Oreochromis niloticus: one gene and its partner. The protein of the gene in region 2 binds, or shares a complex with, the protein of the main gene of each other region. Links are inferred from orthologs where the notes say so. Each region holds a gene or a part of one and is shown on either strand. Other genes may lie near its edges.

Region 1 (9,390 bases), on a different chromosome or scaffold from region 2:
CATCAAGAATTAGTTCTAGCCGTGCAGCTACTCTATTCAAAGTCAGCTTACTCATAAGGGCACACACCTGGTAAAACATGGCCAACCACATTTTATACTCCATGATATGTTTCATATAATATGGGCTTTCAATGGTCCACAAAGTATTAAATGTAAGTTAAATTAAGTATGAAATGTAAATTGCATAAATGAATAAACTTATAACATAGTAGGTTTATTGACTCTTTGCCTAAAAATGTAAACAGAAAAAAGAATTAAGCACGTCAGGAAAAGAAATACACCATGTTTTCATTTTGAATATTTTGATTTGAAACCGAACTAAGAGCTGAATAACAAATCAACTTTAACTGTGCAAAATAGCTACACGACATGGGCATAGACTATATGCATAATAGGAATATATGTCTGTAGAAGAATTATTCTCATATTCCCCCATACATTTATTATTCATCTGAATTATAAAGTTTAGGGAAATCCCTTATAAAAAATAAATCCAATCAATACGTCATGTTTTGTTAAAAAATTTTTTAAATTGTTATCACTGACCAAAGTAATTTCGATGATGGCTGTTTTGTTTTTCCCATCGCCTTTGGAAATGTCCTTTTTTCCCTGATGACCAGTCAAAAACCTAACTATTTTGAGCTTAGCATGATGCCAAAAAAAAAAACAACCAACCAACCAACCAAACAAACAAACAAACAAACAAAAAGAAACACCCGACAAAGCCACAAATACTCAGTATTACCAGTGAATGCTGGGGATTGGTGCTTGAAAAACTCAAATAAACAGTTACTGAATTTGTTGCAAGTGAATCTGAATTTGATTAAATCACTGATTTGCTGTAGCTCTGTCATAATGGTTGGTATCTGGGGAAATAATAAAACTGCCTTGGCATGTTCCCAAGCTGAAAATGTTCAAGATTGTTAAAGCTCTGATAAGATAGACTCCGTTTAATGCAGAAAGTTGAACTGGCAAATCTGGTCAAACTGACAAAAACAGAAACACAGGATATTTCTATTTTAATTATGTTATATTTTAGTTTACATTGTAACACCTCTGAAAACCTAAGGTATTACCTATGTTGTAACTTGACATTCTCCGCCCTATAAATCACACTTACTTCAGCACTGTTCATTCCTCCTCCAAATTTCTAGCTACTTTTTGGCTGCAGTCTTTTAATTTATCAGTGAAAGAATAACAATGATCTTCTCAATATAGGAAATAATAAACAAAGCATCATTACAAGGCAGCAAAGACTGGTGAAGCTATTGGAAGGAACATGAGGGGATGTACAAAGAAGTGGAAAAACTTGAGGGACAAATGTGTTTGCTCCAAAAAAAAAAAAAAAAAAAAAAAAAACTGAGGACAAAAAAAAGAGACCCAGGAGGGAAAAATGTTGGAGCATTTTATTTCAAAGATTCACCGCAGATGTGGACAAGATGATAAACTTTAACTTTTCTACTTTTACAATCATTTATTAAAATGTGTTTCTTATTTTACTACAGCCAGTCTCTTCATGACCTGGACATCAGTGAGATCTGCTCGGTGGATCCCTGCCAGTCAGTTTTAAACTGCAGGCAATCACTGGTTCAGTGTGTTTCACAGTCACTGGACTTCTTTAAGTTTCTTGAAGATGTTTTGTTCATGATTCTTTCATCCAAAAAGCTTCTTCAGTTTTCTGAAGTAGTTCCCTGAACTGAAGAGGCTTCTTGGATGAAAGGTGATCCTCAAGAAACTTTTATTTCCAAGCTCCTAGATTACCATGACCTGGGTGACTGAGAACCTACACAGACTCTTCTATGAAACAAACTACACATGCAACGGGCCTTATAAGACAGTGATTACATACTCTCGTGGACACTGCATGGATAGTGCTCATCTCTTTGACTGCACCAGACTATTACATCTGTGCCATTTTAAGGACAAGCGACATAGCTGGAATTTACAAATCAGCAGGGGCAGAAATGTGCAAAAGATGGAGTTAGCCACATCACCTGTTAGTTATCAATCCAACGTTCTGAACCACGCTGTTTAGTGCCATCGAGAGACACCGCATGCTCATATCTTACCAACTAGTCAATCACATGTAAAAGAAATCCTGCTTTATCCTCCATAGTTACTCTAATGGAACATGAATATCAGGCTGTATTAAATAAAACTGAAACTAGATACTGAGCCCATGAATCCCCCAGTAAAGTGTCTATTGAGGCCACAAATCAAAGAAGTTTAATGGTTGCTTTCCCATACATGTCTATACAACCAAAGGTATTGCCCCAAGGTGGCAATGTAAAAGAATGCAGGTTTAGATATGGTAGAGCCATTACTCTTAATCCCACTATACAATGTTCCTTCCTGTTAAAAACAAGTTTTTCCTTCCCACTGTTGCCATAAAGAGTGTCTGTGACATCCCTAATACTTAAGGAAGATTGACTTGACTACAAGTCTTTTTAAATATCTTTTTTTTTTTTTTTTTTTTTTTTTTTTTAAATGGGACTAAATCCTCTTAACCTCTTCTATGCAAAAATAATAACTAAATAAATAAAACAAAAATAAAAAATGCACAAATCACGACAGGGGCAGGAATCTGTTTTTTGCTGCATCTCCATGGGGCCCATTCAGTCTGGGTTATCTCCTGAGCACCGATATAAAACCGAAACGCCAAATAGTACGATTACTGGTTTCACTTTTCACATTTTCACATGACAAAAGTATGCCCATTTTTCATATACAGTCTATGGTTTTGTCCTCAAACTGTATTACCTATTTAAGACAATAAATAGCAGTTCAAACTCTCTAAAGCTCTAAGTTGTCGTCGACTTATATCACCTACTCTCAAATCAAATCAAATCACTTTTATTGTCACGTCACATGTGCAGGTACACTGGTACAGTACATGCGAATGAAATTCTTGTGTGCGAGCTTCACAAGCAACAGAGTTGTGCAAAAATACAATAACGTAAAACAAGCAAAATATAAGAATGGCTAAATCTGAAAGTAATAAATATATGTACAATATATAAGAGTATATGCATTACTGGATGTGTATACTAAATATGTTTTTCTACGTGTGTGTGTGTGTGTGTATACATATTTTACAAATTAAATAGAGTAAACAATAAAATAAAATATATAAAATATACAGAGGTTGGTAGTTGGAGGTAAAAAAAAAAAACAAACACTCCAAACACACCACAAACGAACACCACAACAGAACGGCACACGTTCTGTGCATTGTGAGATTACGCTCAAAGATTGTCTGCCATCTCCAATCCTCTCTCCTGCTTTCACAGATCTAGCGGGAGAGATCGGAATAAAGGGTGAGAAGGCGATGAATATCCTGCATTTTGATTAGTTTTAAACGCAGGATATTAGCTCAAAAATATGAACTTGAAGTGGAGAGCAAATTTCATTGACCATTTCTCCCACTTTCTCTTTTTGCAATCTGTGTTGTTTTGTTGTTGTTTATTGCTACAACAGTGATGAAAATAGCTTAGTAGGAAACAACGGAGAACGGTGACTAGCTTTGGATGGTTAAGAACATACGTTATCGTTTGTTTATCAATCCGGGAACGCTTATTTACCGTTAGTCGAAATGTACACTCTATCACTCGAGGCACTAAGCTGTTGGGTGTTACCTGAAACTGATCGATGGCTTTCAGTGGCTCTGTGCAGTTAGTGAGAGTTTCTTTAAGATCCTCTCCGTTGGATATACCAAGCTCAGGCAGCCCCGCGAACATTTTGCTTTCAGTTTAAGCATCAATTAAATGATCTAAGTCCAAATGATGTCTTCTGACGGGAGTTTAGTCAACAAAAGTAAGTTCCTTCTGCAGAAAACAACACATTCGCCTTTTTGAGAGCTTCCTGTGTTGCAACTTTGTAAACACTCCGCCAGAAACATCCGCGATGAAACGTTCCAGCGTGCTCTGCGGTAAAAGGGCGAGCATCAAGGGGTTCGATTGCAAGCTGCGGAGAAGCGCGAAGTCATAACGTACAAAGAGCTGATGTAAAACCGAGTGTTAAAAAAGTGTTTTACTGTCTCTGCTTTTCATACTGTGGTTTTTTTTTCGCGGTGAACTCAGCTGACGCTGTCTGCTCTATTTCAAACTCCCTTTGCTCCACCGTAAATTCGCCGTACTCACAAACTTCTCAATTGAAATACATGGGAGGATTCAATTGTGGCAAAGATCGTGGTAGAAGTATAATTACCTCGGAAAAATACATTTAAAGTTTTATTTAAAGTCTCATATAAAGCCATTTTAAAATGCTTAACTAGAGATCAAAAAGTACGTTTGCAGACTCATACAAAAAAGTTTGAACATATTCGAAAAGATTTACTCCATCAAAACAACTAACAACTTTTTTTTTTTAAATTTAAACATAACACATCAGTCGGTGGCACGGTGGTTAGCACTGTTGCCGCACAGCAAGAAGGTCCTGAGTTCAATTCCACCATCAGGCCAGGGTCTTTCTGTGTGGAGTTTGCATGTTCTCCCCGTGTTTGCGTGGGTTCCCTCCGGGCACTCCGGCTTCCTCCCACCGTCCAAAGACATGCAGCTTGTGGGGATAGGTTAATTGGATAATCGAAATTGTCACTAGGTGTGAATGATTGTCTGTCCCTGTGTGTTGGCCGTGGGACAGACTGGCGACCTGTCCAGGGTGTACCCCGCCTCTCGCCCTATGACAGCTGGGATAGGCTCCAGCGCCCCCCGCGACCCTGAAAAGGATAAGCGGAAGCGAATGGATGGATGGATGGATAACACATCAGTCTTCAAAAGCCTTCAGTTAGGCACATGGCTATTTTGAATGACACATTAGCTGTTAGTGGTGTCTTAGAGTATGTATGCCACAGTTCTATATTGAACCTTAAGTTGTCCCTGATTTGTTCAGAGATAGTATGAGTGTGTGATAGAAAATGCATTCATAGACTGCCTGAATGTGTGTGTGAATGGGTTATGTACTATAGCTTGTAGTAAAAGCTACTTGCAGTGCTCATTCAAACTAGAAAAGTGCTAAATAATGACAAGTTAATCACAAGTGGTATTGTATTGCACATTGAGTCTGGAACATTTAAAAAACAATCCCATTTATTTTGGATTTTGTGCACACTGACATGAGTAAGCTGAACATTTACTGAAATTTGTGAATCTAAAGCAAAACTTGTAAGCTTTACTTTAAAAATGATTTTCGCTACATAATATAAAAAGCCAAAATTAAAAAGGTGTTTACTGAAGGTTTTTTGCCTGAGAGAAATTTACTTCAACTTGGCTATCCTTGCTCTCAAACCATTCCTTCATTAGCCTTTGTTTTTCTGTAGACAAAGAGAAGGTATCCCAGTGCAAAGAAGATAAGGATGATGGAGAAGAAGAGGATGCCTTTCCAGGGCCCTATGGGCAGGGCCTTCATCACTACAGGATTTTCGGCTGGAACTAGATTGGTGAGGTTTAGCATGTAACCCAAAGCCCAGCCTACAGATGCTCCTCCGGCCTACAGAAACACAAGAAGAGGTGCAGTGATATCACATCATATTGTGGATTCTATCAGTTTCTAAATTCCAGCAAATCATTTCGTTTCACCTCTCACCTTTTTTTCAAAAGAAATAGAAGGAAGGAAAACCTCATCAAAATGGTAGCCCTGTGTTAAGAGCACCTGGACGAAATTGGAGACAGCACAGACATTCTTCATGTATTTCTTATCCTGCTTTGTCCTATTCGTCATCTATAAGTAAAAATACAATGTGTGAGGTTTTGTATTATGTTATTTAAAGCTCATCGGAATCAGAGAGATTTTATCAATCCCAGAGAGAAATTGAGTTGTCAAAGCCGGAAATATACAACAAACATCAAGCACTCATAAAAAACAAGTGCAGAAACAGAGATATTGATAGATATATAATAGATAATATATGTAGATATATGTCAACAGTCACTTTAGAGCCTTAGAGTAACATGGTGAGGATCAACACGTCTCAAAGTCTTTATGGACAGTACCTCAGAGATGCTCATGCTGCAGACGCGCTGGACAGCCTCTGCAGTTTGATTAGGAGACGTCATATCCATGTTGGTGAGGGTAGAGATGTATTTGTGAGTGAAGTAGAAAGCAGAGAATGCCTGTGGAGAAGAAAGAATAGTGCAATGGATGAAGGTTAAGTATCCCCCATCTGTTTTTGAAGACAGAATTAAAAATGTGACCTGTAACCACGAAGGAAGCATTAGTACAATCCATTAGGTCCTGATACAAATGCCTGTAATGCATTCCATTTTTAGTGTTTAGGAGTATTTTCAATCATCAATCAATCAATGTATGTGGGAGTGTGTGTGGGTGCGTGTGTGTGTGTGTGTGTGTGTGTAAAGAAGAAAGGATATCAGAAAGCAAAAATTAGTGCTCATTCAGTGAAGAGCATACATAACGTAGCAAATGAGTCTACGTTATGCTTCTATGCTTTTTTGCCTCAATATAGGATATTTTAGACAACATCTAAAAGCCTCTCACCATGAATCTTCCTCTCAAGCTGGGCTGAAAGACTCCATTAAAGGAGCACTTGGAGTATTTGCAATTCTCAAAGGAGAACATCTTCTTTACATTCTCTAAGCAGTTTTGGTAGTCTCCTGTGCCCACAACTTTTACATTCAGTTTCAGGTCAATCTTGTCTGGTTTGGAGTCCACAGTACACGGAGAATCAAAGACGTCCTTCCCCAGGATGACACTTTCGGTGAACTGCTTTGGATAGCAGGGGTGGAACACTGTGCTGTTTTGATAGTTATCCTTAAAGTTAGAAGATTAAAATTTTATTAGAAAACATTTTTTAATAATTTTTTTTACAAAGATCATTTCACCATATAAAAGCCATCCATAACACAGATACTGCATTGTTCTAAGGTTCCTCGTAGCAACAACTCTGATTTTCCTAAAACTGGTAAAGACTGGTAATTTAATTTGGTTAACAAGCTAGCAGTTCTCCTGTTCAATCTTTATGGCAAGCTTTCATCTCTCTCTTAGCAAGAATGTAACAATATGATCCCAAAATGTAACAAATGTGAACTTAATCTATTTAGTAAGTTTAATGGAGATGTGTTTCAAACATCCTTTTTGTTTAGTAGGACTGCAGCAAGACAATAACATGTTTACATATGCTGTTTTATATGGTCTTGCTATCTGAACTTCTCAGTTGTTAAGAAGATACAGAATCATTATAACAGGGATGATTACAATTGAAATGGTTGCCATTAACAGTTAGAGTCTTTTAACTTGTTGAACAGTACCTTAATGAGATGAGCCAGCAGTTTCCTTAAATACTGGTCTTGGCCGTAACACAGGAAGCTCTGGGTGTATAGTCTGTAGGTTTTTCCAAAAAGCTTCAACTCCATTGTGTTACTTTTATTCTCCACCTTTTCAGAGGTCTCAAAAGTAATCTGGGTAGATGCTCCTCCTAAATCCAAAGCTCCAATTGTCTCTCTGCCTGGATTCATCCAGTGACCTACAAAACCATACTGGGTAATAAAAAAGGACATGACGCCACATTGGAATTAGAATCACTTAGAATCAACCAATAACCAGTGTTGGGCAAGTTACTTTGAAAAAGTAATTAATTATAGTTACTAGTTACTTCTTCAAAAAAGTAACTGAGTTAGTAACTGAGTTACAAGATTCTAAAAGTAATTAATTACTTGAAAAGTAACTATTGCGTTACTTTAAAAAAATGTTTAACCCTGTGGGGTCCAGGGTAGAATTGGCCATTTTTCACTACTTTTGATTTTCCCTCTACATTTCACCTTTAAAAACTATTTACTTTGCCTTGTTTGGTATCATCCTTTTCAGCACAACCTCACATGTCTGAATTTACAGTTATGTTTTCATTTTGACATACTGTATTAACACAATTGATCTAAAATCAGACAAAAAACATAAAATCAGAGTAGAAAAAAAGTTATATTTTTTTACAACCACAAACATGTTTAATGAATCATATTTCATAACTTTAAATGCAAATATAAATTGTCAATTTTAAAATCATATGCACAAGTTTTGCAAACAACAAAGTTATTTGCAGCCATTTACCTTTTACCCCTTTTTTTAAATAACCATTTCAAACTATTTACAGAACAATCAGCTGTTCTACATTCAATAAGAGGCCACACAAATTATTTGTGCCACTCCAAATATTTCTGTCCACTATAAAGGAGAACATCACAGCCTGATTCCTGCAGGTCTGACAGCAGCAGGTGTATCACTCCTGTTCTCTACCTGGAGACAGCAGTAACCTGATTGTTCTGACACACAACACAAAACTATCCACAACACTACACACTAACTACGCAAGACAACACATTAACTACACACTCCAAACACGCCAAACGTCACAAATCTCTCACATCTCAAAACTCGCTCTCTCTCTTTTTCTGCTGTCTTTCTTTCTCTCTCTCTCGCCGTCACTCATAAAACTTCCCACTCTTCCTAAACAACCAAATGTCATGTTGCCATATCATTTTTTGATTGGTCGACATTTTTCCACCAACACAAAAGGGCAGGGGTTTTTTTTGTTTGTTTTTTTGTTTTGGTTTTTTGCTCATAAGCAGAGAGTGCTTGCTAGCGCTGTCCTTAGACAGTAAACGTGATGAAACTATTCAGGAAAAAAAACACGCGTATATATTGTTTATCATGACTCTGGTTTTACGTGGCCTATCAACACAATTTAAAAACTGGTATATATCACCTTGTTGCTTTGTCATCTTGAAGTGGTCATATGATTGGCTTACCACGACTACTTTATTCTTCCTCAGTCAAACAGCAGCACTCATGCGATTGTTTTGTCCCCTTAGCTCCAGGTGTTGTGCCAAAAAGTGTTCGTCGGGCAGAAAGTGACTACCATCCACGGGAGCGCGCGCAGCTGCTTAAAGCTGTAGCGCCCAGATTACTTATGTAGACAGCTACTTCCGTGCAACTGATATAAGATGCGGTAAGCTGAAGACAGCTTCAACCGGCTGTTTGTTGAAAAATAGTAACGCGACCGCACCGCATTTTCTTGTTAGTAACGGTAACGGTGTTGTAACGATAGGAATAGTAATTAGTTAGATGACTCATTACTGAAAAAAGTAACGCCGTTACTTGTAACGCCGTTATTCCCATCACTGCCAATAACATACTCGAATGCTCTAAAACTGTAAGAGAAATTTAGTCATGCAACCATGTTGCAGTAATAGCATCACTTAGTCAATTACCAGTGTATTTCTATGCTCCCAGCAGCTACCAGTAAGTCCAGTGGATTCCAGTGGAATAGCTATAGTGCTATAGAGCTAAAGTGGCATAGGAATTCATTTTTTCTAGATTATGGACACTAATATATTTCTAGAATATTCCCATAATATTTGATGTAGTGTCACCACTGTGTAAAAT
Region 2 (9,880 bases):
AAACAGACAAGCAAAGTAATCCTCACAGCAAATTCGGGCAGGTTCTTCTCCAGGTTTTCTTCTCCTCCGTCTAGCAGCGCGGCCAAAGATGTTCTCAACACCCGAGAGAAAACTTCCAGCTGTTGGCAGGCTGTGGACACGCTGGTGATCTCGCCCTGGTAACCTGCGTCTGAAATAAGCTAAACAAACACAAACACAATACTGAAAAGAAGCAGAGACAGTCCAAGTCATCAAGCTGCAAAAATGTATAAAAAAAAAAAAAGGAAAAATGATAAAATTAAGGTGAATTTTCATATTCGTGTAAATTACAATTACAACAATACACTTACTGACCATGTTTTTATGTACACCTGTTCAGCTGCTTGTTAACAAAAATAACTAATGAGTCAAACCCATGCAGAGCCAGACTGATTTATTGGCAGGCCTACATTACCTTTTCTGCAGATCTATTGGTATTGGCATTAACTGTTGCATAGTTTGTCCACCAGAGGGCACTCTGCAACTTCCCTGCTGGCAATACTTTTGTGGGATCTCACTAAGACAAAATCTAACTGATCCCTGCAGAGTTGGGCAGAGCATATACAAATAAATAAAAAACTACACATAAAAAAATGTTAGATAAATCTGTGTTTCATGTGTCTGAAAAAAAAATTAGATGCCAATGTCTCTGAATGTCTGATTCTTATATCGGTCATACAAATCATATTAGTCACATGGCAGATCAGTGTGTGTAGACATGATCAAGGCAACCTGCTGAAGATCAAACTGAGCATCGGAATGAGAAAGAAAGTTGATATAAGTGACTTTGAACGTTGCACAGATGTTGGTGCCAGGATCAATGTGGACCAAAATCTGAGGAATTTTCCCAGCACATTGTTGAATTCACGGCATGAAGAATTAAGGCAGTTCTGAAGGCAAAGGCTTCAAGGAAAGTGTCCCTAATAATGTGTCCAATGAGTGTAAATGACAATGACAGAACATCAGAAACAAATTTAAAGTTAAAATCTTTAACTCGACTCTTTCTACTGGTTAGTTTGTGTTCATGTCCTAATCTTCAGCTCCTGCTGTTCTTACTGTTTCCACAGTCACTACTATACCTTTACAGTGAAGTTGAGCATCAGGCAATCTGGGTGAGCCTCCGCCAGCTTATAGAAGAGATCTCTCCACGTTGTGTGTGCTATCATCTGCTCGAGCCAAGCAGGAGTCTAAAATGGCAGGAGACTGGATTAGTTTGGTTTCTCTGAGCTTCAGTTAGTTGTTGTGTTGAAGCACAACACGCTCAAAGTTTCTCACCACTTTCATTTGTCATATGTGTAATTACTCCGGGTGTTTAGAGATCTCACCTCTCCCTCAACGGTGAAGATGGAATCAGCTTTCTGGGGGTCAAAGTGTTTTATCAGAAGACTCTTGAGGTGATTTTCTACTCGTTCTTGGACTTGTGCAGGCTCAACACCTGAATAATTACATTACACGTTAATGAAAAGCCATCAGTAAGACAAACTTAAAATAGTTTTCTGACACAACAGTAAGACCAGTAGTCTGATAGGTACCCATCTGGATGAGCCACTCAGCCAGCAGATTAACAGTCTGAGCCACGGCAGAGTAATTTTCAGAGAGAAGCTGGATGACATGTTCTGGAGAGCCACCTGCTTGAAAATACCTGCAGAAACAACATGGTTGTTAATCAATAAATGTCTTTTTACCAAAACTTATATTACATTTACATGAGAGTGCAGACACTTACGTTTTGAGGGTGCTGAAGATAGCAGGCTCCATGATGTAATCCCTACTGGAGAATTTCTCCAGGCAAGCTTCCTGGATTTTCCCATCATTTTCTCCTTCACCGTAACCATCCTCCTGAAATACACGGTGATGCAGATGCTTCTAAAGTGATTCATCTTTCTTGGGAATAATAAGTAATACTCCAGTTCTCATTTGCATATAGTAACAAATTATGGTGTAGCTACAAGGTAGAGGAGAATCGACAGGTGCTATAGAAGATGTTATTATTAGATTCTGAGCAGGCTTCCTTACATTCATCCAAGTTAAAAGACACTGATATGTAGATATCAGGTTTGTGCTGCAGTTCAGTAACTAGGCAGAGGTTTCCCCAACGTTTAAAACACACAGCTCTCATACTTTGAGCTTATTTTTTTGTCTCTTTTAGTTGAATACAGGTCTATGTGACTATCGCACCTTATCCTGATTTACTACTGTTTGAAAAACATGCACACTAAAAACGCAACAAGGTGCCATATTGCAGGCAAACTTAACTTCTACAGTCATAGTTTACATATGAGGATATAATAAAAATCATCCGTTCCTAGAAGTGGCAATCACCAGACACGCCACGATACGATAAATTATATCATCAGAGTTGAACTTTATCAATATCTTTTTAAGCCAATAAGATAAAGTTCCATTAGTTTTGCTGCGACCAGTCTGTGATTGAATGGGGTCACGCTGGCATTTAAGGGGGTAAGTAATAGCCAGGTTTCTGTGTGAGCACATCTATAAATGTACTGGCAGTTTGCTGCTCTGGAGCATTCAGGTGTCTCTCTTCCCAAGAGAACCCATACCATCAAATTCACCTCAAGGTCAGACCGTGCCATGCTCAAAAGAACTGCAAAAACCCAAGAACTACATCTCAGACACTACAGATTTGATCAGTTATCATGTTAAAGGTTAAAGTTCGTGGTGGGGGGCTGATGATTTGGGCTCGTTTTGCAGCCACAGGACCTGAGCGTCTTGTAAACATTGAGTCAACCATGAACTCCTCTGTATACCAAAGTGTTCTAGAGTCCAATGGTCCAACAGCTAAAGCTTGACCCAAAGTGGGTCCATTTTTATCATGTCCTGATATATAAAACCTTAGAATTGACACAGGTGTGATTTCTCCTTTGTGACCACGACTGTGTGAACACTATCAAAACAGTCGATTCTGTTTTCGGTCATCCAAGTCAGAGATAAAATATATTTTATCAATTTATTTTATCATATATTTTAGTCAGAAATAAAACAAACTTTAACCTATGGCGAGTTGATCACCAGTTTGTAACATGAACATGAAGCAGCTGTGTCGTTTGTTAGCCAGCTGCAGGCTAACTAAGTAGCCGAGCCGCTGAGTTTAGACTATACAATGCATCTTTAGAGTACCTGAAGCACTTGTCTCAGCACATCAGCTCTTATACTAAAGATAACAAAGGTCTGACAATTAATCATCAGCTGCTGTGACTCCAGCGATGCTAATGCTGGCTAGCTAACCGAGAGCCAAACAGCAACAAGTCGCGATCTCACCATGTTACCCTCCGTGCCTTCCCAGTCTCCGGAACCGCTGTAATATTCCTCGTCCATGGTGACGGGGAAAGCAGGGACGTTGGGAACCGCTACAATAACACACCTGTTGGATTTAAATCATGCACTGACTCGTTTAACTGCAGAAACCGGGCTGACAGTCAGCTTAGCCAGCAAGCTAACAACAACACAGGAGGAAAATGGCGAGGCGGTAGGCTGTAGGCCACGCCCCCATTCGTGGGTTCACTCCCTGAGTTTAGACTTTTAGGCTCAAACCGAATGGCGTTTCCTTTGTTTAGTACAATGGTAAACTTTTGCAAGGAAAACTGGAAAAAGGTGCGGTGATTTATTTAAACTTTCAAAACATATATGGAAATACAACATATAAGGAAAAAACTGAGTTTGTGCAATTCTAATGAGCTCGAAAGCCACTATTTGGTTCAATCACTGCAATCTGAGATTTCTTAGGAAAGCTTTCTCATAATTTTTTAAGTAGTCTTCAGGAATAGTTCTGCAGCCTTCCTGAAGTGCATGGGTCAGGGTTAAGTGGTTTAACAAAGGAAAACAAAAAAAAACATTCCTTTGAAAATGTTAAGGTAAAAAGAAGAAGTATTGCTCAAGAGCACTTAAAAGAAATAAAACAAAAGAAAGGCTGGCTTCTTGGAAAGAAAACAAAGAAATGAGGAGTGATTAAAATATTTGCATAGTACTGCATGTGACCAATTTATCTTCAGGTAGACCTCTGTAAAACCAGAGGAATGTTTACTATTTAATAGTTTCTTACTGATATAAACTAAGTGGATCATTTAATTGGCACAACTGTTTAGAGCATCTCTGACGGCACTAAAAGTCCACATATTACATTATGCACATTATAACCGACAACACGACTGTCGAGTAAAATAGCATTAGACCAACAAAAATGATCTCCTAGATTATAAGTGAAAATATAATATTACAGAAGGTGCAGATGGTAAAGCTTTACAGGATGTGAAAATAGTTTCTCTAGATTTGCATGCATGCATTACAGAGGCCTAAACTATTTTAAGTGTGCACTAAGTGAGTCTGTCAAAAGTGAGAGTATCCACGTCCTGCCTTGTCTACTTAGAGAAAACACAGACTGTCTGGGCTGAGTTACCAGAATTTCTTCTGTAATTTTACACATTTCTTAAAATTTAAGCCCAAAGTGTAGCACTGAAAGATTTCTTTCATTTCCTCCAGCAGAATTTCTATATCATGTGGAAAATGTAGGATATACTGTCAGAATAACACTTCTTCTTCTTATATTAAACTATTTCAGGGGTTAAATGTGCAGGTAATCATCTTTACACCAATAGAAAGGGGGGGTTTCAGTGGTCTGGCCGGTTAAGGATCAAAGTGGGCTGTATGTGGCCCTTAATATAAATTGAGTTTAACATCCCTGTATTAGAGGCCACAAAACTTCCAGGGTTAGAAGACAAGACTTCCTGCCGTTTCTCCTCTTAAAAACGTAACCATTTGTTATTAACAGTTTATATCCTTTTTCTTTCTTTCCCTCATATTAACTACATGCGAGTAGGGATACTACTAGTTTTTCTTTTGTGGTCATTTTCTTTCTCTTGACATGGATGTAATTTATGCTTTTACTTTGGCGCCCTCTATTGGTCACATACTACATTGCAGAAGTTAGTACTTTGTTTTTAATTCTGAAAGACTGGGTCAGACTCTGCTGAAAACTTGCATAGGTCACTCTTTTTATTATTATACTTCATTCAATAGAATTAATAAATCTAACTGGTGGAGACTCCATCCACATGTTTAGTAAGACCACCCGTGATGTATACATGTTGGCTCAGCCATCGGACTCATGCACAACTGTCTTCTTTGGTCAACAGCCTCCTTACCTGTATCTTGTTGCATACTGTTCCCTGTACGTTAGCATGGACCACAAGTAAGGGCTATATATTAATTTTTACAGAGTTAGTGTATCTAAACATATGAACCTCAGAGTACAGTATAGACTTAAATTGCAAACTGTTCAAATAAAATAAGATAGTCAACTAAACAACCCTTTATTGGGTTTTAAAAGAATAGTTTTATGGAACAGTATGTCAAAAGTTGTGCACGAGAAAGAACATAATCACAAGTGAATTTCATTTTTGGCTTGCCAGCAGACACTGGAGCCTGTGATAGTGTGTGTATGCTGAGCTCTTTGTGCAGTTTATTGAATTTACATATGAGGAATTTAATTATATGAGTGGCAATGAATACCTGTGTCTGTTAAACAATCACAAATAAATAATGTTTCCCCCCCCCTCACTCAAGTTTGAATGAAGTATGCTTTAAGCTCAGTTATTAACCGAAGGCGATGAAATAAATTCTGAAGTCTCCCCAACAGGTTGAAGTGACTGTTTCTGAAGCGATCAGTTTACCTGTGACTTGTGTTCATTTCCTGCCGGCTTGAGGATCACTGAACATCTTTTCCTCTTCCAAAATGGATGGAAAAAAATAAAATTAAAAAAAAAACAAACAAAAAGAAAACCGCTGAAAATCCACAAACTAACTTTCATGGTATTCAACGCTGAGTACTGAGGAGTCCAGCCGTACAGGAACAAATGTTTTATTTTATAATGCAAACCGCAACATATGAATTATATTATTTACCCAAAGGAGCAGGAAAAAGGTCATATACCCGTGGCAAAATAAATCACACAGTCTGTGTTAAATCTAAGTCCAACACATATATCAGCCTCAGCCATAAAGGGAAAATCCACCCAAAAAACAACATGTACATTCCTTTGATGTCGGACAGTTCATTCTTACTTTGTGGCTTTAATTGAGTCTCACCCAACAGCAGGAATATGGGGTCCAGGACTTTTACTTTCCTCTGCAGACATCGCAGAAGGAAAACCTGACTTTATATCAAAGTCAGTGATTTGTGAAAGGATCGTTGATCCATTTCGGTTTTGACGTGTACACAAATTTGAAGTGAACTGTGTATCATAGGGTTCATAAAGTGAATTCTTCAGGGTTTTTGCTTTCGGAAGGCATTTTATCAAAGTTTTTCTACGCACAAATATAGCTCAGGTGAAAACTGAACTTTCAATTAATCTGTTCAGCTATTGCTTAGATAAATAATATTTACTCTACAAGAAAAAAGATAAGTTTCACATTGTTCAGATGCATGTAAAAGAAAAACAAACTGTTCTAAAATGTCAAACTGACATTTTTTTGGTTGAAAAATCCCTGCGCTGTTGGTTCTTGAAACATGTTACCACATCTGCATCGAGTCTTGGAAAGTTTCAGAAAGGATTAGTTGACTGGCTGAAAACCCAGCCATGTGAGAAAAAAACAAAACAAAAACAAAACAGTGACAGAAGTCTTTAGTAACTCTGGGGGAAAAAGAAGTAGCACCATGTTCACTGAGGGCAAGCCAGAAGGTAAAGGGGAGAAGCCGCAGGACACACAGAGTTCAGGTGTGCACTTAAGTGCTGCAGCATCTGCAGTAAATCTGCTCATCCTTCAACATGACTTTTTGGTCTTTATTCTGCTCTGCTGTATTCTGGCTGTGTGCAGCTTATGCAAACATAATCCTCCTTCTCCGCACGCTCAGCAGACAGACCGACGCAGATCTGGTGAAACCACTGATTGCAGTTGCCGTCACACTGGACCCAGTTTACCTAAAAATAACAAGAGGAGATACAATAAATTTTCCCTTTGTATTCTTAAACTTCAACTAAACAGGCACATAAGTCAGTGATCCATATTTACATAAGTTGGTGTAAATACAGCAGACTAATGAAACTCACCTCATCACCCTCTGGCTCTCTGCACCACGGTGCAGCACACAGCGAGTAGTCTTCTTCTGAATCTGAAAGAGCAGGGTCAGACGACGTGTGTGTGGGCGAACCGCTTCTCTTCGATTCTTCGCTCCTTTCTTTGCTTCTCTTGGGCTTTTTCTTGCGACACTTCTTGGCCTTCTCGCTGTGCTGAGAATCGGAGCTGTCCTTACGCCGCTTGGTCCGCTTGCTCTGAGTGTTCACGGCCTCCTTTTTCAGACTCGACACGCCATTCTAAGCACAACATACGAAAGGTGGACTTAATAAAGAATAGCATTATGGCATAATGCATTTGGTGTGACATACAGTATCATCTAAATGTAGTAAACTTAGTAGGAGCTGTTGTTACCTTGTGTTGAGGGCTCCCTTTTGGAGACTTCTGGTCCTGTTCTGTGCTGTTCCCACAGGGAGGGCTCTGTGAGGGCAGGGGGACCAGTTTGTAGAGTAGATATCTGTACAGCTGCTCCGTCTCAGGCAGAGTGACCTGCAGCAGGAATCCCTCCACCATCAGCTCCTCCAGCTCAGGACTTAGTCCTGTGAAAAATTAAAACAAAATGAGCATCAGAGTTGCTGTGAAAAGTGAAACTGCAGAGAGTGCTTAGACGAAAAAGCTTTGACACTTACCGTGGAGCGGAACAGACTGGTGCTCTGTATAAAAAGATGACCCACTCTTTTCCTGAGGCAAATGTGAAGACTCTCTAGGTCCAACTCTCACCTGAAACAATTAAAAAAGCCATCAGTGGCTGTAAATGCTCAGTGTCTAGTGTTTCCATGATGGTGTCTAGAAAACGGGACCCCTGATGGTGAATTACAATAATTCAGACCACAAATGCTTCACTTAAATCAACAATGTTTACAAAATAAAAGCCACTGACCATCTTTGACACGTTCTCGAGTACTCCATCTGCACAGGCTTGCTGGACTCTGTGCTGCCATCTCACAGTCCTCTCGATGAGGAACCGCAGAGCGTCGCCCTCTGGCAGGCGGACCCGAATCCTCTGAAGGGAGGCCAGCAGGGGCAGGACTTTGTCCAGAGGTGGTTTTCTCGACCGCTGGCACAGCGGGCACAGCCAGGCCTGACCGTACTCAAGTTCTGCGGTTGTTGTAACACAACCGCAGTGGAAAATGTCTCGACAGAGCTCGCACTGCATCATGGCTCCTGAGGGAGCCTTTTGGCAAACACAAACACTAAGTGCACAACAGCTTTCAGCAGGAAGGAGCTTAGACTCGTTTGAAGACCTCAGAGCCAGTAAGATCTCCATCTCCCTCTGTCGGACCTCTGCGAGAGTGGTCATCTGTGAGGAGAGAAAATTAGATGAAATTAAAGACTAATCTCAAGCCTAACAACAATGCCTCTATTAATATATGAACTTTCCCTGATGGGACTTCTAATAAAGGAAATCATATTTTTCCCCCATTGACTTTCTGAGGAACCCTCCACTCATCGTTACACAGATTTGTGCCTGCTAAACCTCATTTAATGCTAGGTTAACCTGCTGAAGGTGACCAAGATAGAGTCAGAGTCACTGCTTCTAATACTTGGGATAGGTTAAATGGTTGAAATGGCACATTGATAGACAATATTTACTCTGACAGAGTAAGGAAGAACAAGTGAATAAATAAAAAGATCAGTTTTTATCTGTTTATAAGTTATAAAAAAAACAGCACTTCTTAACAAAGAAAGATTCTGGAGTAAAGGAAACTATACAAGAGCTAGTTTTTAGTCCTAACTATACTGAAAAAGCTACTAGAGAAAAAGAAAATTTGATGCAGCCATACTTACAGCAGAGGCAGAGTCCTTACTCTCAGAGAGAGCTCTCTCTACATCACACACAGAGTCCAGTTTTGTTGAAGTCTTTTTAATGATCTGTGGAGCTTCTTTCACTTTTTTAGATTTTGACTTCTGATATGCAGACCCGATGTCACACCTTGGGCAGAGGACCTGAAAACATGATGACAAATTCTATTAGAGGCGCTTTTCAAGTTCAGGAAATTTGCCACATTTATAGTTTTGTAATATTTGGCACTAAATTTTCATACTGATGCATAATGATTATATTGGTCAGCCACATTTGCATACGCATTTACCTCTAGAAGTGAGAAAGGGGAGTTTTTTAATAGGAATGTCTTTGTGGCCGTCTCCTTCCAGCTCTGGACATCACTGACAAGGGCCTCCAGTCGACTGAGCGGGTCGAGCTTCACTGGGATGCCCTCTGCTCTGAGAACCAGCTCAGAGAGGCTGTCGAGCACAGGAATACGTCCCCCAAGCTGTAAGCACAGACAAGATTAATAATTCAGTTTCACCCATTGCTAAAACTAAAGTGCTGAAAGCATAAAGTATGATTTACCTGCAGTGTTTCAGCTTCATGGAGCCATTTTTTGGCCTTGGTGACGACATCCTTCAGCTGCAGACAGTTGGGCAGATAAGCAGGGATGTTTTCTACTTCCTGCAGAGCAGCTTCAAGGGTTTCTATGCCCTGATATGGCCTGTGAGGAGGCGTCAGGGTTAGAAAACAGTGTAGATGTTTAGGTTTTATACAAGTAATAAAGAAATAAAATAGACATTTCTATAAATGAAAGACCATAAGCTCATTTGTAGTATTTGGTTTATGTTCATCCATTAATGGGTTAACCACTGTCACAGCATCATAATCCACTTTATCCACCATGACCCAGCTCTTGTCATGGCCACAGACGTGGCACATTTCACGCCGTCTGAAGTTTTCAGCTGGTTTTACACTTTCACGCAACACAAAATGTGAATTTTA

Evidence for each region.
Region 1: the proteins of nelfcd (region 2) and nelfb are in contact, whole or in part, in a crystal structure (PDB 8JJ6), measured with the Homo sapiens proteins. The link is inferred for Oreochromis niloticus from reciprocal best matches to the Homo sapiens genes NELFCD and NELFB. Residues at the interface, in XP_047296144.1 of Homo sapiens: Arg63, Ile66, Met67, Glu68, Pro69, Ile71, Phe72, Leu75, Ile89, Gln90, Leu92, Ser93, Tyr96, Thr97, Ala98, Val99, Ala100, Gln101, Thr102, Val103, Asn104, Leu105, Leu106, Trp109, Leu110, Gln112, Thr113, Gly114, Val115, Gln121; in NP_056271.3 of Homo sapiens: Met49, Leu53, Leu56, Val58, Ala59, Asn60, Gly61, Leu64, Lys65, Leu68, Thr69, Leu75, Ile78, Glu79, Phe81, Gln82, Glu84, Asn85, Gly86, Val87, Leu88, Leu89, Ser91, Leu92, Ser94, Ala95, Leu96, Pro97, Phe98, Leu99.

What each region holds. Positions count from the first base shown.
Region 1 is NC_031977.2:1,193,441-1,202,830, forward strand, and holds the start of nelfb (negative elongation factor B), read right to left. Parts: upstream 3,776-9,390; 5' UTR 3,738-3,775; coding exon 3,636-3,737; exon of another isoform or gene 3,324-3,635; intron 1-3,323. Other genes in the region: ectonucleoside triphosphate diphosphohydrolase 2, read right to left, coding at 5,278-5,484, 5,581-5,715, 5,988-6,107, 6,490-6,762, 7,260-7,487. UniProt on the Homo sapiens protein: Essential component of the NELF complex, a complex that negatively regulates the elongation of transcription by RNA polymerase II.
Region 2 is NC_031970.2:24,669,288-24,679,167, reverse strand, and holds the start of nelfcd (negative elongation factor C/D), read right to left. Parts: upstream 3,525-9,880; 5' UTR 3,355-3,524; coding exon 3,298-3,354; intron 1,858-3,297; coding exon 1,745-1,857; intron 1,661-1,744; coding exon 1,551-1,660; intron 1,454-1,550; coding exon 1,344-1,453; intron 1,206-1,343; coding exon 1,098-1,205; intron 180-1,097; coding exon 27-179; intron 1-26. Other genes in the region: kdm5ba (lysine (K)-specific demethylase 5Ba), read right to left, coding at 6,816-6,953, 7,083-7,346, 7,462-7,646, 7,737-7,827, 7,988-8,407, 8,896-9,054, 9,201-9,380, 9,461-9,599. UniProt on the Homo sapiens protein: Essential component of the NELF complex, a complex that negatively regulates the elongation of transcription by RNA polymerase II.